Arabidopsis thaliana: one gene and its partners. The protein of the gene in region 2 interacts with the protein of the main gene of each other region in a pairwise test. Each region holds a gene or a part of one and is shown on either strand. Other genes may lie near its edges.

Region 1 (7,056 bases), 870 kb from region 2:
ATGATCGGAGACATGATTGTGTATTTTTACGAGAAGGGAAACAAAGACAAGAAAAGAAGACAACACTCATGACTCTTTTAAGAACTTGTCCTCTCTTTGGGACTAGACAAGCTTCTCTTTCACCCATTTCTCTCTCTCAGCCCGGTTTATGTCGGTTTGGTTTTAGTACTAGAGATGATGATGTGTCTCTGCAAGCTGGAACTGCCGACGTGAGAGTTTATAGTGAAGAAGAGTTGGGTGAGTTAAAAGAACCGCGTGAAAATTCTCAAGACGCGTTGGCTCGTTCTTATATTTTTGTTCCTATTGCAAATTCGTTTATAATTTGGGAATTTATATATTTCTGGGATCTAGATTTGTTTTGCATATAAGTGATTAATATAGGTTTAACTTTAAAGTGTACTGTCAGAGTTTGAAGTAGTCAAGACTTTTTCTTTCTTTGGTTCCAAGTTAACGCGTTTTTGGCTTAGAGAGCGACCATGATTTGTTTTTTCGTTGATGTTTTTTTCCCTTTACGGATTTAACCATTATCGTTCTTATTTTCCTTTTCAAAGCCAAAAAGGATTGATTGAAATGATTATACGAGTTCATGAATTCGATCCCTGTAATTATGAAACAAGTTAAAAACTATACGAATGGACTGTTTTTGGTCATAGATCGAACGAGCTCATGACTCGATCCTGGAACCAGATTCTACTCTAGTTGATTCTGACAAGGATACCTAAAGTCTCAGTTCATGCATCTGTTTCGCCAATGGCCAAACTCCTGAAGCTTGAGCGATCTTTCAATAAAGGATTGCTGGTGATCAGATCGTCTACATTTGGAAGTTTTAGTGAAGGAGGATGTCTCAGGAGCTTCTTCAAGTCAGACTGAAGAGGGAGAGTAGAGTGAGAGTGTTAAGCTCAATCATGTGGCTAAAACATGGATGGCAAAGAATCTACAAATTTTACCTGAACAACATCATGAAGATGAGAAACTTCTTTTCCCTCTAACAAGCCAACCTTCTCAAGGTTTTTAATATAACCATTTAGATGATTCAGCACATAATGTGTTACTTGTCTTGTTTTCAAAACACTCAAAACCTGACAAATATATTGGCCAATATCAGCCTATCAGTTAATCCTGACAATTTAATGGGTTTCAAAAAAAAGTATATGGTTCCAAACCTGAGGAAATGAATCACGGACATCTTCCAAGAACTGTTTTGCTTCTTCTCCTTCCACCTCACTTTCATTGATTACAGTAGAGGCAATGTTACTGTTACCTGTGTAAAGAAAAAAGCACATTCTCAGGTAAATGATGGACCAAAGGTTTTCATTCAAGTCTGTATTCGTGAGCTAATATGCAGAGTCTTAAACGAATTTAACATAGAGATATTATTTAACAGAACAGAGTGATGCATACCTAGAAAGATATGCAATTGCTGTCGCGCAATCCTATGGGCACGGAGAAATGCAGAAGAAATGTAACAAGCAGATTCCAGTCTTTCAACGATCAAATGCGTGACTAACTTGTGGGGGATAATTTTTGACTGAAGAAACTTGTAGTAATTTGGGAAATGAACACGCGGTTCTAAACCCCTCCAGTCGCTTAAAGAACTGGTAGAAACAAGGTCAAGTGCCTCATCTACTGATTGCATCAAAACATTAGCAGTACATTGTGTTATTCTCCCATCATCAAGCATCTCCCAGTAAGCTGCCTGGACACCTGATACAGGCAAGAGTCTCGAATCAATAGCTACTTTTGGAACGACACTAGTTTGACAATGAGAAGAATTTACTACGCATTGTGAAATACCATTTAAGAAGCGTATACGTATGTCCATTATATTCGTAGGGTCAAGACTTCCAGCTTCGTACCCATCGTGAGGATTAACTTGTCTCCCTTCTAAATCTTTCAAGCTTGAAATATGTCTTATAACTGTAGGCCAGTCAGCAGATCCAAGCTCCTCGTCATCTCCAAGATTTTCAAAAGCTTTTAAAGCAGTCTTCATCATTTCAAACTTTGTATACTCCAATATTCGTTTCTGTCAATAGAAAAAGAGGAGCATTATCATTATATTTCTGAAGCATTAGTTGCAAAGATTGTGCGTGTATATACATTAGAAGGATCGGTGACAGATTCTGAAGCAGGTTGATTCCCAATCTCTAACTACCTATTCTCGGTTTGTAAAACGCACAAACCTAAGCTAATATACCCACAACTGCAGAAGGATGCAGTCATTTGTGCATGTATAAAGACGGATGATCAGAGGTTCCATTATCTACCCATATATCCTGTCTTTGCTTTTTAGATTTGAAAAGTAGCAGCACAAGAGAATATAGGATTAACATACTGACCTTAGTGGCCGTTAAAGTGTCCATGCGAAGAAGGTGCAAGAGCAATTGGGTAGTGGATCCATTAACAACCAAAGTTAGGAAAACAATCCCACCTGTGAGGAATAGAAACTGCAAAACAGCTGAAACACATCAAGATAACAAAAAGAGCCTCCAGAAAGAAATTCAAAAGTAGTTCATACTGTGTTTCAGAACTCACCCTTGTTCCCGTATCTGAACTGAGATATGAATTTCCACTTGATTGCTGAATCATATGACCGAGAGCTATAGTATGTCAGAGAAAAGGAAATGGGAACATGAATATAAAAGATTTGAAAACAGATTTGAAATTAGTAGATATTGCTCTTGCATGAATGAAATGCCATTTCTTCAGAACTCACTTTTACAGATAGAGCGAGCGACAGCGAAACAGCACCCCTTAATCCAGACCACGTGAGTATGATGGATTCCTTCCAATCCAACCCATAGCCAGAACGGCATAGCAATGGGTACAAAACTCCAACAACAACACAGCGGGAAAGTTGGACATACAAGTATAAGAGGAAAAGGAAGCTCCACGAGTTTCCTGAAAAGAACGTTACGAGTAATGAATGGTCCTCTTAACCCCAATATATGTCAAAAAGAAAGCTACTGCGGTAATGGTATCAGGAATTAGCGATGTTATCCGTTAATCATGACGAATTCTAGGAGAAAACCTCCCTTTACATCTTCCAAGAACAAAATAAAAAAAAAATCCGGACGTAGAATAATAAATTGTGAAGAGACACCTTTGTAAGATATTGTCTGACCGCTAAGAACGCTTTCAGCGATAATAACTCCACTGCAATTCACAAGAGACACACATGCAATGATCTTGTATCAATCAGGTATCGGCTAAAACATCGTCTGCAGTATTTTGTTTGTAAAATAACCAGTAAATTTTTGTTTTCGAATCTTGCCAGACAGTTCGTACCTGAGCATAAAAACTAGTGTATTTGCAATGTAAGCGGCCATTTCCCTACAAAAGTTATAGGGCAATCATAAAAATATAATATATACATGTAAAGATTTCCTTTGATTTGACGAAAAAAGAACACTGAGTTGTGAAATACCAGAAGTGATGCAGACTCTGGTGACTGTCCCCCTTAAAAGCTGTCCTTGCAAATGCAGCGAAAAACCTATTACAATTATGTTATGAACAATGGCTTTTTGACACATAACAACAGAAAGAAGGGATAATTTACCACGACTTACATCCCCAAAATCATGACAGTCAAAATTCCAGAAACCCCAGCCCACTCTTGAGCCTGTACATAGTAGAAATTTCTTAGGTTTCCTAGAGATTTAAGATTCTCCATTGGGGACTAAGTTATGTAGAAGAGAAGAGCATACAGTGTAATAGGCGAAATAGCTCGCTGAAAGTGTTACAGTGATCTGAGCCACCGTGTCATTGAATATGAATTTAAGCCAAAAAACTGATGCAATTCCAAAAGCTAGACCAATGCCTACACTAAAAAACCAGAACAACATAAGCGGAGAAAAGAAGACAGCGACATACAATACTACTAACAAAGGAAAATAATCCATACGCTCCGAATGAGTTTTGGACAAGAAATTTGATTATGGAACCCCAATCAGAGTTATGCCCCATCACCATCTTGAAGAATAATTGAAAAACCACAACCGATACCCTGAATAATCCAAACAACTAAGCTTGATCATATATGACATAACATCACCTTGATGCTAAACATAAGAGTTTGACATGGTTACCCATCGTTCATGAGAGATTCCCCATCAATTAACGTGGTCATCTTCTTACTAGCACCAAGCTCCTTTAGCAAAGCAACAACAGCCACGGGGTCGGTAGCTCCTAAAAGTCCTCCAAGCAACAATGATGTTTTCCAGTCCCAGTTATATGGAAAAGTAAGCTACAAGAGCATAACTCGAAAAAATTGTTAAGTTAATTGAAGCTCACTTAATCACAGTCGAAAATGTTGAAGCTAGTTAAAGTACCTTTATAAGAGCTCCGAGACAAAAGGTGGAAATCAGAACTCCAGGTCCAGCAAGCAGAACCATTTGTCCCATACATCTCTACCAATGATGTAAAACAATCAATACCAGGAACCAACACAGCCAAGGAAGTAGCTCAATCAGGAAAGTAAAAACCTTGATCTGGTGCACATCCATGGAGAATGAGCTCTCGAAAAGAAGAACAGGGAGAAAAACAGCCAAAAGTAGGTCAGGGTTGATACCATTCCCTGTAAAGTTGCCATTTTTTAGAGCTCGTAATCTAACAGTATGGAGAAGAGAAAATACAGTAGCTTACAGATACGAATTCCATGGCCGAGCTTCCCAAGGTTATGCTTAGTTCCATATTCTACAGAAGCAAAAAAATCCAAAATTTAACTACTTTCTAAAATCTTCCACGAAATTGAAACTGAGCTATAAAGCTTAATGAGCAAACAAATAAGACCTAGGGATCCGAGAAAAATGCCGATGACGAGAAGAACGACGGTGTACGGAACTCTAGTGCCGTTAAACAAATATCTACAAGCGGTGCCGAGAACCAGCGAAGTTCCCGCGAAAATAACAGCATCAACAGGACTCGAATCGTTCTCAGCTGAATACGAAGAAGATGCAATTGCTTTCTCCGGTGATTTGTACGGCAACGCCGCGCCGATTATACTCGTCATCTCCGGTAGAAAGAAGCAAACGATCAATCTTTCGTTTTGCCAGTGATTACGGTCAAAGATGCTTTTACCGAACCGAATCTGCTTCGTTTAAGAGTGAACCAAGATTGAATCTAGTCTGGTTTGGCTTGACCTGTTTTATTTCGGTTACGTCTGGTTTTCTATCACTAATTTGAACGAAAATTTGAGAAATCTTAATACGTTTTTGATTAGGTTTCTGTTTTCTTTGCTAGATATGAATGTAGTTACTGGATTATACTACTCTGTTCAAATGAAGGGTACATATATTTACATGAACCAAATTATGAAATAACAAAACCGACTCACTCTAGTCTCTAAACTTAACTAGTGTCACTTTTGTTTGTTTGTTTTGATCCATACTTCAATGTATCTTGTTCAAATTGTTTGATTTTATTTTTGGTATAAGTGGCTACATTGTAATTTCTTGCTGATTCAATCTATAAATCGAAAACCTTAAATTATCCATGCCTCAAAACGATGCACGTTGTGTATAAATGAGAATTTTAAATTGTTTAGTTTCTATAATTGCTGTCATGACGTGAGATCATGCAAAGCAATTACGTACGATAACGCACGTAAAGGAAAAATGATTATCAGATTCATATATTTTTTTTTTCAAAAACTTGGTCTCGTGTAACATCATTCGTCATTCTTCATATTCACTATACTATAACCACAAAAGATATTAAAAAAATAGTCACTCCACTCCACATCTAATACAAAGAAGTAATAATTTAACTATTCAAAATTTATGAAGTGTTAATACGATAAGATTTTCGACCCAAGGAAAAAAAACACTATAAGATACATAGGTTTGGCAGAACAATTAGTTCGCTCACTGCCTACATATTCTTTTTTTGGTTTAATTAGCCTACATATGGGAAAATGATTTGTATTTTGTTAAATGCCACTCACATTTGTTATAAATAATTAGTCTTGGTTTCAAAAGCCATATATTTATGAATTTATAGACATTGATATTTATTTTTATGGTTGGAAATGGTATAAAGTATTATTGACTATAGTTTTTTTATGTATTTTTCTTATGAAATAAAGTGAGAAAATAATAAAAATATTAAAATTTGTGTAGCTGACTCGAGTTTGATTGAAGTCTTTGGTATATAAATATTGTCGTTATTTCCTCCATTTTTCTCCCTCTTCTCCCAAATAAAAAAAGTTACTCAGATCTCACGATTTGAGCAGAATACGCAATGAGGACACCGACGACGATTCTCCTTCTTGTCGGAGCTATCCTCTTCTCCGGCGCCGGCTATGTCAGATCCGACGCCTCCGACCACCGTTACAAGGAAGGAGACACCGTTCCTCTCTACGCCAACAAGGTCGGCCCATTTCACAATCCAAGGTAAACGGAAACATCTATTCTAGATCTGAGCTTCAGATCTGAGGTTGTTTCCCATTCTTAAGCCTGAGGATGATAAATTGATCGTTTATTGTTGAATCTGTTGCTATTGAATTGAGTAACGACATTGATAACTGAGTACACTGCAAAATGCGTAATGTTAAAACCAAAGAGTGAAAGAAGAAACTACATTTGGAATGTTTTTCGTTTATGTGATGGATCTGTCTTAGATTTGAATACTATTATATGACTGATTTTGGTTTTGTTCAATGATGATTGCAGTGAGACGTATCGATATTTTGATCTTCCCTTCTGTATCCCAGGTATGCTTATATCTTTACTAGCTTAATCACACGATTTGTGTTTAAGCCGCAACTGATTTGTGTGACATCTCCTGATTCGATCATCCCATTATTGAATATGGTTTATAGAGGGTGTGAAAGAGAAGAAGGAAGCTCTTGGCGAGGTTCTAAACGGGGATCGGCTAGTTAGCGCTCCATACAAGCTCAACTTCAGAGATGAAAAAGAGTCTGAGGTATACTGCAACAAGAAGTTGAGTAAAGAAGAGGTCAAACAGTTCAGAAAAGCTGTTGAGAAGGACTACTACTTCCAGATGTACTATGATGATCTACCTATCTGGGGATTCATTGGAAAGGTTGACAAGGATATC
Region 2 (7,219 bases):
CGTGAGGAGATATCTGTCCTGTTAACTTATTGCTTGCAAATCTCATCGCTGATAGAGATTTGCAGGAGTGAACCCTCCAAGGGAAATCACCGCTGAAGCTATTGTTTCCGAGATCTAGAATGCTAAGGCTCTGAAAGCGGGAAAAGTCAAGCTCTGATAAGGTTCCTTCCAGCCGATTAAGCCTCAGATTCAACTTGACGAGATTAGTACAATTTGCAAGAGAAGGCGGGACTGTACCAGTGATGTTATTGATATGGAGTTGGAGGCTTTGCAGGCGAGAGAGCTGACCTATGTCCATTGGTATTTCTCCTCCAAGGTGATTGGAGTACAGCTCGAGCGATTTTAGTTTTGTGAGGTGGGTGATGTCATCATTGATCTTTCCAGAAAGATGATTGACGGGTAGAAAGAGTTGCTCGAGCTCCGAAAGATTGTATATGTCACTTGGGATTTCACCAGAGATATTGTTGAAGCCTGCTTGTAGAACACTTAGCTTCAAACATCTCCCTAGTCCTTGCGGAATATTACCGGTAAAATCATTGTAGGAGAAATCCAGTTTGCTGAGCTGCGGTGAACTCTTGCACATAAACGAAGGGATTGAGCCTGTGAAGCTGTTCTTGCTGACATTGAAACTGATTAAATCGAAAGTTCCTTGCATAAAAATAGAACTAGGGAGGATTTCGCCTTGGAGAAAATTGCTTGACAGATCAACTATCCGAATTGGGAAACATCTGTTGCTTCCATTTCTAAATGTTTGTTCAACTGGCAACTCACCATCGAGGCTGTTGTAACTAAGATCAAGAACTTTGAGCTGATCAAGGGCTGAGAGAAAGCCAGATGGGAGATGACCGGAGAGACGGTTATGAGAAAGATTGAGTTGAGAGAGATGGTGGAGACGCAGAACAGACAAAGGGAGTTTACCATATAGTGCTCTAAAGGGCAATGAGATTGCAGTGATGTGGCTATCCGGGGAATCATCGCAGGTTATTCCTTCCCATGAGCAACAATCAATGGATGGGTTCCAATTCAGAGGAGAAACAGAAGAAGAAACGTTTCCAGAGAACCACAGTAGGGATTCTCGATCTTGCGAGTTGCAGAGAGCCTCTGAAACTGCAATAGAAAGGACACTGATGAAAAGAACACACTGAAGGAGTATGCCAATCATGTGAAAACTCAGAGCTTGTATTGGTCTTGTGGTTGATGAAGTTCTCACAAAACCTTTGGCTTTGAATCTCCCCTCATTAGTCATGGTGAGAACAAGAACAAGACGAGAAACAGACAAAGAAGATGAAAAAACTTGTTGGCCAGTGTTGACTAAGGGGGAATAGCCCAGACATAACAAAATTAGACTTGTCGTACATCTTTAATATTTTTTTTATCTGTTTCTTTGTCCTGACGCTTTCATTATTCCTGTGATCAATTTTCTCATACCATTGGTCCATCGTTAATCCTTTCTCAATTTCATTTTCTACGTAACATGAGAGGAGACCAAGTCCTATGAGAACAGTTGACGTAACAGTGGTTGTTAAGTTAAGTTAAAAAGAGGAAGCTAGTGAGAGTGACCGTTAGGTAGAGAAGTGAGATCTTTAACCACTCTTCTTTCTCTCTCTCTCTGCTTTTTTCGTCGTCTTTCACATCTACTGTTCGCAAACTCTCTTATGCTTCCAATAATGGTGATACCAATTGAGACTTGCAGGAGAATCTCCTCTTCTCCACACTCTATCAACTGGTCAGCCATGGAATGGTCGTTTCAGTTTCAATATTCCTGGATTCTTTTTAAGGATTCCTGTTTCTCTTCTGTTCCTGGTATATTCTTAACGACGAAATTAGTATCGGATCCTGGTAATACATTTTGAAGCTTTTAAGTATGGCCGAGGATTTGGACAAGCCATTGCTGGATCCTGATACTTTCAACAGAAAAGGAATTGATTTGGTAAATGTTCCTTTTAACTGTATACTCTTATTAGTACTTGAATTCTTAGTGGCAAAAAAGGGTTTTGACCCTTCTTGAGCTTGACAGGGTATATTGCCGTTGGAGGAGGTTTTTGAATACCTAAGAACATCGCCTCAAGGGCTTTTATCTGGAGATGCTGAAGAGAGATTGAAGATATTTGGTCCTAACAGACTTGAAGAGAAACAGGTAATAAACATGACATTCTTCTTAGTGTTCCTGCCAATTGTCTCTATTATCTTGTGCTAACCGCCATTTAAAACAACAATGATACAGGAGAACAGATTTGTGAAATTCTTAGGTTTTATGTGGAATCCCTTGTCATGGGTTATGGAAGCTGCTGCATTGATGGCCATTGCCCTCGCTAATAGTCAAGTAAGACAACCACAGTTTTGCTACCATTTTCCATCCATGAGTGTTTATGAAAAAGCACCTTGAAACTCATGGTGAAAATGGTATTACAGAGTCTAGGTCCTGACTGGGAAGACTTTACTGGAATCGTTTGCCTTTTGCTGATCAACGCAACAATCAGCTTCTTTGAAGAAAACAATGCTGGGAATGCTGCTGCAGCTCTTATGGCTCGCTTGGCTTTAAAAACAAGAGTATGGCTCTTAACCTTCCTATGAGCCGAAACGGCAAAGTTAGCTGCACTTTAATTTCTATATTACCTTAAATTTGATTTAGATCCACTCTTATAGGTTCTTAGAGATGGACAGTGGCAAGAACAAGATGCTTCTATCTTGGTACCTGGTGATATAATTAGCATTAAGCTTGGGGATATCATTCCTGCAGATGCTCGCCTTCTTGAAGGAGACCCCTTGAAGATTGATCAGGTACGTCCAGAATATCTAGTCTCTATTCTTTTAGTGTGTACTATGTAAAGACTTTCTCTGACAGAATAGTTAAAACATTTATTCCTGCAGTCAGTGCTGACCGGAGAATCACTACCTGTGACCAAGAAGAAGGGTGAACAGGTCTTTTCTGGCTCTACTTGTAAACAAGGTGAAATAGAAGCTGTTGTGATAGCAACTGGATCGACCACCTTCTTTGGAAAAACAGCACGCTTGGTGGACAGTACAGATGTAACTGGACATTTTCAGCAGGTTTTCCTTCTTTCTTTCCCTTTTGGTTGGATAGAACCTGATTAGTGAACTTGGAATCTGGAAAAACCGAATGTAGTCTTTGACATGTTTTCTTCTAGGTTCTTACATCGATTGGAAACTTCTGCATTTGCTCCATTGCTGTTGGAATGGTTCTTGAAATCATTATCATGTTCCCTGTACAACATCGCTCTTACAGAATTGGGATCAATAATCTTCTTGTACTACTGATTGGAGGGATACCCATTGCCATGCCCACTGTACTATCTGTAACGCTTGCCATTGGATCTCATCGACTTTCACAACAGGTACATCCCACTTTAAGCTGCTGAATGCAAAAGGAAGTCCTTTGTTTGTTATTCTTTAAAACAGTTTGTTAGCAATAATCTGTTTCTTCATGTTCTCTAAGGGTGCCATTACGAAAAGAATGACCGCAATAGAGGAAATGGCTGGGATGGATGTACTCTGCTGTGATAAAACTGGAACCCTTACTTTGAACAGTCTTACCGTTGATAAAAATCTTATTGAGGTACCAATACTACAGATGCGACTTGAATTTCATCAAACAATACTGTTAAGAACAGTTGCCTCCTTCTTCATCGTCTTGTTCTCTATTGTTGGTGTTTAAATGTACAAATCCTTCTGCACAGGTATTCGTTGACTACATGGACAAGGATACAATTTTGTTGCTTGCAGGCCGAGCTTCACGACTAGAAAATCAGGATGCTATAGATGCAGCCATTGTTAGCATGCTTGCAGATCCCAGAGAGGTAGAGATGTTTCTCTAACATGAACTCTCTTTTATAAGACTATCACCTTCTTAGAAGTTTTTCTCATACAAAGGTTGTTTATCTGTAGGCACGTGCAAACATTAGAGAAATCCATTTCTTACCATTCAATCCTGTGGACAAACGTACTGCAATAACGTATATTGATTCCGATGGAAAATGGTATCGTGCTACCAAAGGTGCTCCTGAACAGGTATGTATTCTTAGCACTACCAAACTGACTCTAGTTGTAAAAATTTAGTGAATTTTTTTGTACTGTTTCCATGAAAGAAATACCATCACTAATACAACTGCACTATATTATAGGTTCTAAACTTGTGTCAGCAGAAAAATGAGATTGCGCAAAGAGTTTATGCCATCATTGATAGATTTGCAGAAAAAGGTTTGAGGTCTCTTGCGGTTGCTTATCAGGTAACATCATTGTCCTCTCCCTTTCTCTCTTGAGCTGGTTTTATCATAAGTGTACTTTTGAAGAAGAACGTTATGATGACATTAATTACTCCAATTCATTGCATCATTTAAATAATTGTTTCTAGGAAATTCCAGAGAAAAGCAACAACAGTCCTGGAGGACCATGGAGGTTCTGTGGTCTGTTGCCACTGTTTGATCCCCCAAGGCATGATAGCGGTGAAACCATCCTTAGAGCTCTTAGCCTGGGAGTTTGCGTTAAGATGATCACTGGTAAATCTTAACCTTTAGCTTGGTAGGCTTGGCCCGACAGAGAAACACATATACCCTTGTGAGTAAACGGTAAAACTCTGGGAAAATGAATGATAAGTTTGGAACCACATGTAGGTGATCAATTGGCGATTGCAAAGGAGACAGGCAGACGTCTTGGAATGGGAACCAACATGTATCCTTCTTCCTCTTTGTTAGGCCACAACAATGATGAGCATGAAGCCATTCCAGTGGATGAGCTAATTGAAATGGCAGATGGATTTGCTGGAGTTTTCCCTGGTCATATTCTAACACAACCTTAGTACCTACGAAATTTAAGATTTGCTCTCATTTCTAATCCCAAATTTTTTTTGTCTCTCATGTTACAGAACATAAGTATGAGATTGTAAAGATTTTACAAGAAATGAAGCATGTGGTTGGAATGACCGGAGATGGTGTGAATGATGCTCCTGCTCTCAAAAAAGCTGACATCGGAATAGCTGTCGCAGATGCAACAGATGCTGCAAGAAGTTCTGCTGACATAGTACTAACTGATCCCGGCTTAAGTGTAATTATCAGTGCTGTCTTGACCAGCAGAGCCATTTTCCAGCGGATGAGGAACTATACAGTAAGTACTAAAGTTATAGTTATACTACTATCATCTGATCCCTGATAGCTAAAGAAATGAAAAATCATATAATATAGGATATGGATTTCAAGTAGCCTGATGACATTCTCAACTAGCTTATGTTTTTCTCTGAATTACCGACTAATCAGTACGAATCTGCAGGTATATGCAGTCTCTATCACCATACGCATAGTGGTAAGGAGCTTCATGATACATGATCTAACTCATGTTAGTTAAGTTACATCAACTTACTTGAACTTTCTCTTCTTGACATTGTTTCATGCAGCTTGGTTTTACACTTTTAGCGTTGATATGGGAATACGACTTCCCACCTTTCATGGTTCTGATAATCGCAATACTCAATGACGGTAATCTCTTAATCAATAGCTTCATATTGATGTAACCTAATTTTTATCACTTTCAAACGCTATGTTTATCTCCTACGCATCAGGGACTATCATGACTATTTCTAAAGATCGAGTTAGGCCATCTCCTACACCCGAGAGTTGGAAGCTCAACCAGATATTTGCGACAGGAATTGTCATTGGAACATATCTAGCATTGGTCACCGTCCTGTTTTACTGGATCATTGTTTCTACCACCTTCTTCGAGGTATCTTCCTATCACTCAAAGTAAGTTAGATTTTGCTTACCGAGAAGAATGCATACCGGTGACCAATCTTTAATGGCTGCAGAAACACTTCCATGTAAAATCAATTGCCAACAACAGTGAACAAGTGTCATCCGCGATGTATCTCCAAGTGAGCATCATCAGTCAGGCACTCATATTTGTAACACGTAGTCGAGGCTGGTCATTTTTTGAACGTCCCGGGACTCTCCTGATTTTTGCCTTCATTCTTGCTCAACTTGTACGAATTCCCCATACTTCGCATTTTTTCCATCACAGAATGCTATATAGCACACATAGGTCGTGATATTGACTTGTCCATTTCATGTACACAGGCGGCTACATTAATTGCTGTGTATGCCAACATCAGCTTTGCTAAAATCACCGGCATTGGATGGAGATGGGCAGGTGTTATATGGTTATACAGTCTGATATTTTACATACCTCTAGATGTTATAAAGTTTGTCTTTCACTACGCATTGAGTGGAGAAGCTTGGAATCTCGTATTGGACCGTAAGGTTGGTACATGTCCTGTGTCTCTTGTCCTCTGCTTGTTAGTCAGTCTCACACTTAAACTATGCATTTTCTTGAAGATGAGACCGTTGGTTTGTCTTGCAGACAGCTTTTACTTACAAGAAAGATTATGGGAAAGATGATGGATCGCCCAATGTAACCATCTCTCAGAGAAGTCGTTCCGCAGAAGAACTCAGAGGAAGCCGTTCTCGCGCTTCTTGGATCGCTGAACAAACCAGGAGGCGTGCAGAAATCGCCAGGTTCTCTTTTTATCTATACCCCGTTTTGGGTATTCTCTTCCATTTTCACATACTACCAAAATAACTATATTGTTTTTCATTTGGTAGGCTTCTAGAGGTTCATTCAGTGTCAAGGCATTTAGAATCTGTGATCAAACTCAAACAAATTGACCAAAGGATGATCCGTGCAGCTCATACTGTCTAAAACACTCTCTTAGTTTTTCCCTATCTCAAAATTTACATAAAGAGGAATCGAACAATGTTGTGTTCCTCAGAGAAGTAAAAACAATATTTAGAGCATTCATATGATCTGTAGTCTGTAATGTAGTCTTGTTTTCCGGTGACAGCAGAAATTTCACCTGATATGCTCTGCTGAGATCAATTGTAGGCCATATATGTCGGTGTTTCACTGAACCTGTGATCATTGTTCATCACTTTGGTTAAATTGAAAAATCACCACTTTTATTTCCTGTGTAATCGAATATTTACTCTCTTGTTTTCAATTATTACTAATTTAGTCCACATTCCGTGTTGAATAAATCTTGGTTTATAATTACTTGTTTCAAAAGCAATCAAGCTGTTCTTATAGAACACAAAATTCTCAAGCAAATAAACTATATTTCACCGACAAAATTCACAAAACCGTCGGAAAAGAATCAAACGAATTTGACATTAAACCACCTACTATAATACAGGTAAAGAAGAAGAACCATGGAAAC
Region 3 (4,340 bases), on a different chromosome or scaffold from region 2:
TATGTCCCTCCTTTCCTCCCAATCATTCCCGTCACCGGAGACTACTGGGTGCTCTACATCGATCCTGACTACCAGCACGCTCTCATTGGCCAGCCTTCCAGGAGTTATCTCTGGGTTGGTACTCTTTTTTTTTTCTCTTTAACGAATAATCGAAATTGATCCCAAAAATGATTGACTCTGTATATGTGGGTGGTGTAGATATTGAGCAGGACGGCGCAAATGGAGGAAGAGACGTATAAGCAGCTGGTGGAGAAGGCAGTGGAGGAAGGTTATGACATCAGCAAGCTTCACAAGACTCCTCAGAGTGACACACCACCTGAGTCCAACACTGCCCCTGAAGACTCCAAGGGCGTTTGGTGGTTCAAATCTCTCTTCGGCAAATAGATTACACGGCACACAAAGACTTTGTTTCACCTCTTTGATCCTTTTGTCTGTGTAATATACTACCCCCTTTGTCTACTCTAGTTATCTTCCATCATCTGCTTTTGTCTATTTACGACATCTTCATCTAGTTATGCAAAGTCGTCTCTTTTACCATAAGGAAGCGCACACAAATTCAATCAGATCAAATCTGGGAAAGACAATTCAAATCTTGCAGAAGTTGACATTATGTATTTGGATAAACACACCACACGACTCGAGACTTATGGAATCAAAATAATGCATGCAAACTACAGACGGAATTATATGTATAGATAAGACGATAGAAAAAACAGTCTCCCCCCAGCAAAAGTTTGGTTGACTATATACCCAGCAGGACTTCCAGCTCACAGAATAGTACAGCATGAATTTGTTTTCTTCGCTTGCTTGTAAAACATCTGTTCCAACCAATACAACCAAATCAGATTTTCATGTTGGAAGTAAACATGGTTTACCTAATCTAAATAACGAAGAATATCTTGAGATTCCAGAGGATATGACTAATACATATGTTCCTCCCCATGGTCAGATGATATAGCAAAAAACACTATGATTCTTCGTAGCAAACCTAATAATTCCAAAATCCAACTGTATAGTTCAAACTGCACTCAAATGTCTGCAGGCTGAAGCAGAAAGCTTTTTCAAAGAAGGTATTCTAAATCCACATTCTTCCTCTATTTATCTACCCCAACAATAACATGCAATAGTTCCTCTATCAATCAACAACACTTATAAGCCTGCTAAATCAACAACCCTTTCTAACGTGTTCACCAACTATGCTCAGAGATCGAGACAGGGAAAAAAGGAAACTAAATCTATAAGAATTTCTAGAATGTGACTTTAGAATGTTACCTGTGATGCCATGCTCAAATCTGAGCTCTTCTCCACTAGGCTGTCCAGCTTCTCACCACGGGCTAGAACACTATCAATGGTTTTATGCTACAATACAGAACAAAAAATCAGTCTTACGGAGACAGGGACATCCATCATAACTACCAAGACTTTCTTCTTGTTTTGGTGTTTTTCAGAAGAAAGTAAACTCACCGACAGAACAGCATTTATGTATAATTGGCAAGTATACTGAAACTTAGAAAAGGAAGTACCGCTTATGTATAAGGGTCTACAAGAAAGGACCGGAGACAGCACTTACAAGGATAATCTTTGTCTCATCCAACTCCCTCTGGATTTTCAACAGCTTATCAGCCTCTGCTGGGTCCTGAAGATTACAAATACGGGACAATCCCAAAATCAATTTAAGATCAAATCACTCAAAATCCAACATGGTCATAAAACAATGGGGGCTACTAAAATTAATTCATGAAGAATGAATCATTCGATTGGATTCTAATGTCCACCTAACTGAGCTTAATATAACTACAGTTTTAACAAAATTCACAGTAAAAGAGCGAATACAGTTGCACAAGTGAAGAACCTGAAATTTGTTTAAAGCTTCGGTTAAGTATGGCCAAGGCTGATTGGAGTCTTCTTTTGCAGACCTCCATGACTCACCAAAACTCTTCTGGTACTCATCTAGGACCTGAGACAAAATTAAATGTCAAGCAACCCAAATTACAGGAAAACTTACGAATGATGCATTGAGAACCACTTTCAACATAATGATATTACCTGATTGAGAAGAGAGAAAGCACTTCGAACAGGGTAATGATCGTCCATGAAACCCACCGCGCAAAGGCCATTTCTATTGTAAGCGTGAACCTTGTACTCTAAACCAAAAACAAAATAAAAACACGAACCCTAATTATCCCAAATTCGAGGACTAGAACAATAAGATAGAATCGCAAGAAATTAAAGCCGGGGCATAGTCCAGGAAGATCTAGAATCAGAAACGGTGCACATCCTAAATCATAAAAGTTTCAAAATCGAAAAGCCGATCCGAATTTAGAAATCGAATAAAAATCAAAGAGGAAAGGAGATTGCATTAGATCCGGGAGAAAGAAGATTTGAAAACAATCGATCTAGAGAGGTAGAAGAAGAAGGAGAAGAACCTTCGTGTTGAACAGACTGGCGTTGGGAAGGAGGGGTTCGGCTAGCGACAGTGCGACCGACAAAGACGACGAACTCCTTGACGCTAGATCGCTGGAAATAACCGAAGTGAGAGACGTCCGAAGCGTTGGAGAGGATGACGGGATCAGAAGCTTCGGGAGCGCACTTGAGAACGAGCAAGGCGGTGATCTTCATAGCTGCGGTGGATCCAAGGTTGCGTGAGAAGGAAGCGAGGAGGAGGAAGAGAAGAGGCTTTGGACCTGGATTCCTTACTCGGAGATGCTAAAGGCAAAACAAGTTTTGAGGTGTCGAACCAAACGCAGACGCCTTCTCATTAACATTGAATAATGAATATATACCCTCTTTTTCTTATTCGCTATGTTGAAGTAAAAATTAAAAACCTTTGGTTCAATTCAATTTTATGTGGGCAGTCTCGGTTCGGTTTAGCATATATTGATGCAGAATTGGACCGGAATCAAAGATTTTTCCATCACATAGAATTGGATTTTTAAGAATTTTAAGTCTAGGCAAAAACTGAAACCAAAGAATATTTTAATTTTTGCCAATCGAGTTTTCTTATTAACGGAATATTGGTTTGGTTTAGATCGGACAACTTGGTTTGGTCCGAATGCCAAACTCTAATATTGTCATTTTAACTACATACATGTATGACAAATGAATATAGTACAAAGTCCAAAACTGAGGGGTGTTACACCCATTTGTGCAAAGAAGATGTAAGAAAGCATCAAAAAAAGAAAAAGCGGTTAAGAAGGGAATGGTGGAGAAGAAGAGATAAAAATAGAAAGGAGTAAATGGCCATAAATGGAGGATATGAGAGCAAGTTACTTTTTTTTACCATTAATTAACCTTGTTTGACCCATCTCCTCTTTCTCTTCTTTTTCCTTTCCTCTAACTAAACGAGGAAAACAAGCAGGAGAGGGGATTCATGTTCTTTTCTCGCTGTAAGATCTCTCTTTCACAATTTTCTTAAATGTGACAATTCTGTTTTTGTTACATGTATCCTGACTTTGCTTTTCCATTGGGGTACGTACGTTACACACAAATGCAGGATCAATCAGATAGAGATGCTGAGGTTTTTCATTCTTTTCTCCCTTTTCTTACACTCTTCTGTTGCGGCACCCAAGACTCCTGCTGCTGCCGCAGCTGTTCCTGCCAAGAAATGGCTTACCCTTAACGGTAAGCATCCTTTTACAGAGTATGCCCATATTGCATACTACCATGTTTTTTTTTTTGTTGTTGTTTAATGTTAAGACTTAAGATACCATGTTGTTTGTTTGTTTCTAAGAATCCGTACCTGTCTTTTGTCTTCCAGGACAAGAGCCTGCCGTTGTGGCCAGAGGGGGCTTCTCGGGTCTTTTCCCTGAGTCAAGCATCTCTGCAAACGACTTGGCTATTGGCACCAGCTCGCCTGGCTTCACAATGTTGTGCAACCTTCAGATGACTAAGGACGGTGTGGGCCTTTGCTTGTCAGATATCAGACTTGACAATGCAACCACCATCTCCTCGGTCTTCCCCAAAGCCCAGAAGACCTACAAGGTCAACGGTCAGGACCTCAAGGGCTGGTTTGTCATTGATTACGATGCCGACACCATATTCAACAAAGTCACTCGTATGTCTTCTTCTCTTTCATTTCCTCCCTTCAATGCTCACCACCACCACCACACATTTTCATGTTTTGTATTATTGAGCAGTGGTCCAGAACATCTTCTCTCGGCCTAGCATCTTCGACGGCCAAATGTCGGTTTCTGCAGTGGAGGATGTCCTTGGAACCAAGCCTCCCAAGTTCTGGTTGAGCGTTCAGGTATGTTTTCTTCTCTTTGAGAACATGATTAACCAACATATGGAGCTTTTTTGTTGATTCATCAAAACAACAAACAATGCAAATGTGCAGTACG

The links. The genes of interacting proteins can lie anywhere in the genome.
Region 1: the proteins of AHA10 (region 2) and NHX8 interact in a protein complementation assay, tested with the Arabidopsis thaliana proteins (one large-scale study listed by BioGRID).
Region 3: the proteins of AHA10 (region 2) and YKT61 interact in a protein complementation assay, tested with the Arabidopsis thaliana proteins (one large-scale study listed by BioGRID).

The regions. Positions count from the first base shown.
Region 1 is NC_003070.9:5,031,432-5,038,487, forward strand, and holds NHX8 (Na+/H+ exchanger 8), read right to left. Parts: upstream 5,180-7,056; 5' UTR 5,009-5,179; coding exon 4,789-5,008; intron 4,693-4,788; coding exon 4,642-4,692; intron 4,574-4,641; coding exon 4,482-4,573; intron 4,407-4,481; coding exon 4,329-4,406; intron 4,244-4,328; coding exon 4,086-4,243; intron 4,004-4,085; coding exon 3,902-4,003; intron 3,823-3,901; coding exon 3,705-3,822; intron 3,620-3,704; coding exon 3,567-3,619; intron 3,491-3,566; coding exon 3,425-3,490; intron 3,331-3,424; coding exon 3,286-3,330; intron 3,154-3,285; coding exon 3,101-3,153; intron 2,899-3,100; coding exon 2,714-2,898; intron 2,598-2,713; coding exon of another isoform or gene 2,578-2,597; coding exon 2,533-2,577; intron 2,445-2,532; coding exon 2,337-2,444; intron 2,024-2,336; coding exon 1,795-2,023; intron 1,705-1,794; coding exon 1,402-1,704; intron 1,262-1,401; coding exon 1,164-1,261; intron 1,080-1,163; coding exon 948-1,079; intron 867-947; coding exon 732-866; and 2 more. Other genes in the region: AT1G14670 (Endomembrane protein 70 protein family), read left to right, coding at 6,238-6,389, 6,669-6,709, 6,818-7,056. UniProt on the Arabidopsis thaliana protein: May act in low affinity electroneutral exchange of protons for cations such as Na(+) or K(+) across membranes. May also exchange Li(+) and Cs(+) with a lower affinity.
Region 2 is NC_003070.9:5,902,194-5,909,412, forward strand, and holds AHA10 (autoinhibited H[+]-ATPase), read left to right. Parts: upstream 1-1,864; coding exon 1,865-1,930; intron 1,931-2,017; coding exon 2,018-2,137; intron 2,138-2,224; coding exon 2,225-2,323; intron 2,324-2,412; coding exon 2,413-2,550; intron 2,551-2,646; coding exon 2,647-2,781; intron 2,782-2,871; coding exon 2,872-3,051; intron 3,052-3,149; coding exon 3,150-3,356; intron 3,357-3,457; coding exon 3,458-3,577; intron 3,578-3,698; coding exon 3,699-3,818; intron 3,819-3,906; coding exon 3,907-4,029; intron 4,030-4,142; coding exon 4,143-4,247; intron 4,248-4,372; coding exon 4,373-4,517; intron 4,518-4,631; coding exon 4,632-4,793; intron 4,794-4,882; coding exon 4,883-5,121; intron 5,122-5,283; coding exon 5,284-5,316; intron 5,317-5,407; coding exon 5,408-5,489; intron 5,490-5,572; coding exon 5,573-5,733; intron 5,734-5,815; coding exon 5,816-5,989; intron 5,990-6,083; coding exon 6,084-6,266; intron 6,267-6,366; coding exon 6,367-6,521; and 3 more. Other genes in the region: RLP3 (receptor like protein 3), read right to left, coding at 1-1,246. UniProt on the Arabidopsis thaliana protein: The plasma membrane H(+) ATPase of plants and fungi generates a proton gradient that drives the active transport of nutrients by H(+)-symport. The resulting external acidification and/or internal alkinization may mediate growth responses.
Region 3 is NC_003076.8:23,496,556-23,500,895, reverse strand, and holds YKT61 (SNARE-like superfamily protein), read right to left. Parts: upstream 2,758-4,340; 5' UTR 2,620-2,757; coding exon 2,427-2,619; intron 2,279-2,426; coding exon 2,205-2,278; intron 2,145-2,204; coding exon of another isoform or gene 2,137-2,144; coding exon 2,047-2,136; intron 1,958-2,046; coding exon 1,853-1,957; intron 1,637-1,852; coding exon 1,571-1,636; intron 1,360-1,570; coding exon 1,273-1,359; intron 836-1,272; exon of another isoform or gene 819-835; coding exon 768-818; 3' UTR 512-767; downstream 1-511. Other genes in the region: TIL (temperature-induced lipocalin), read left to right, coding at 1-114, 199-384; SVL4 (SHV3-like 4), read left to right, coding at 3,510-3,621, 3,758-4,054, 4,137-4,246, 4,337-4,340. UniProt on the Arabidopsis thaliana protein: May be involved in the secretory pathway. Essential for membrane fusion mediated by either SYP41 or SYP61; triggers the fusion of phospholipid vesicles containing SYP41 or SYP61 and VTI12.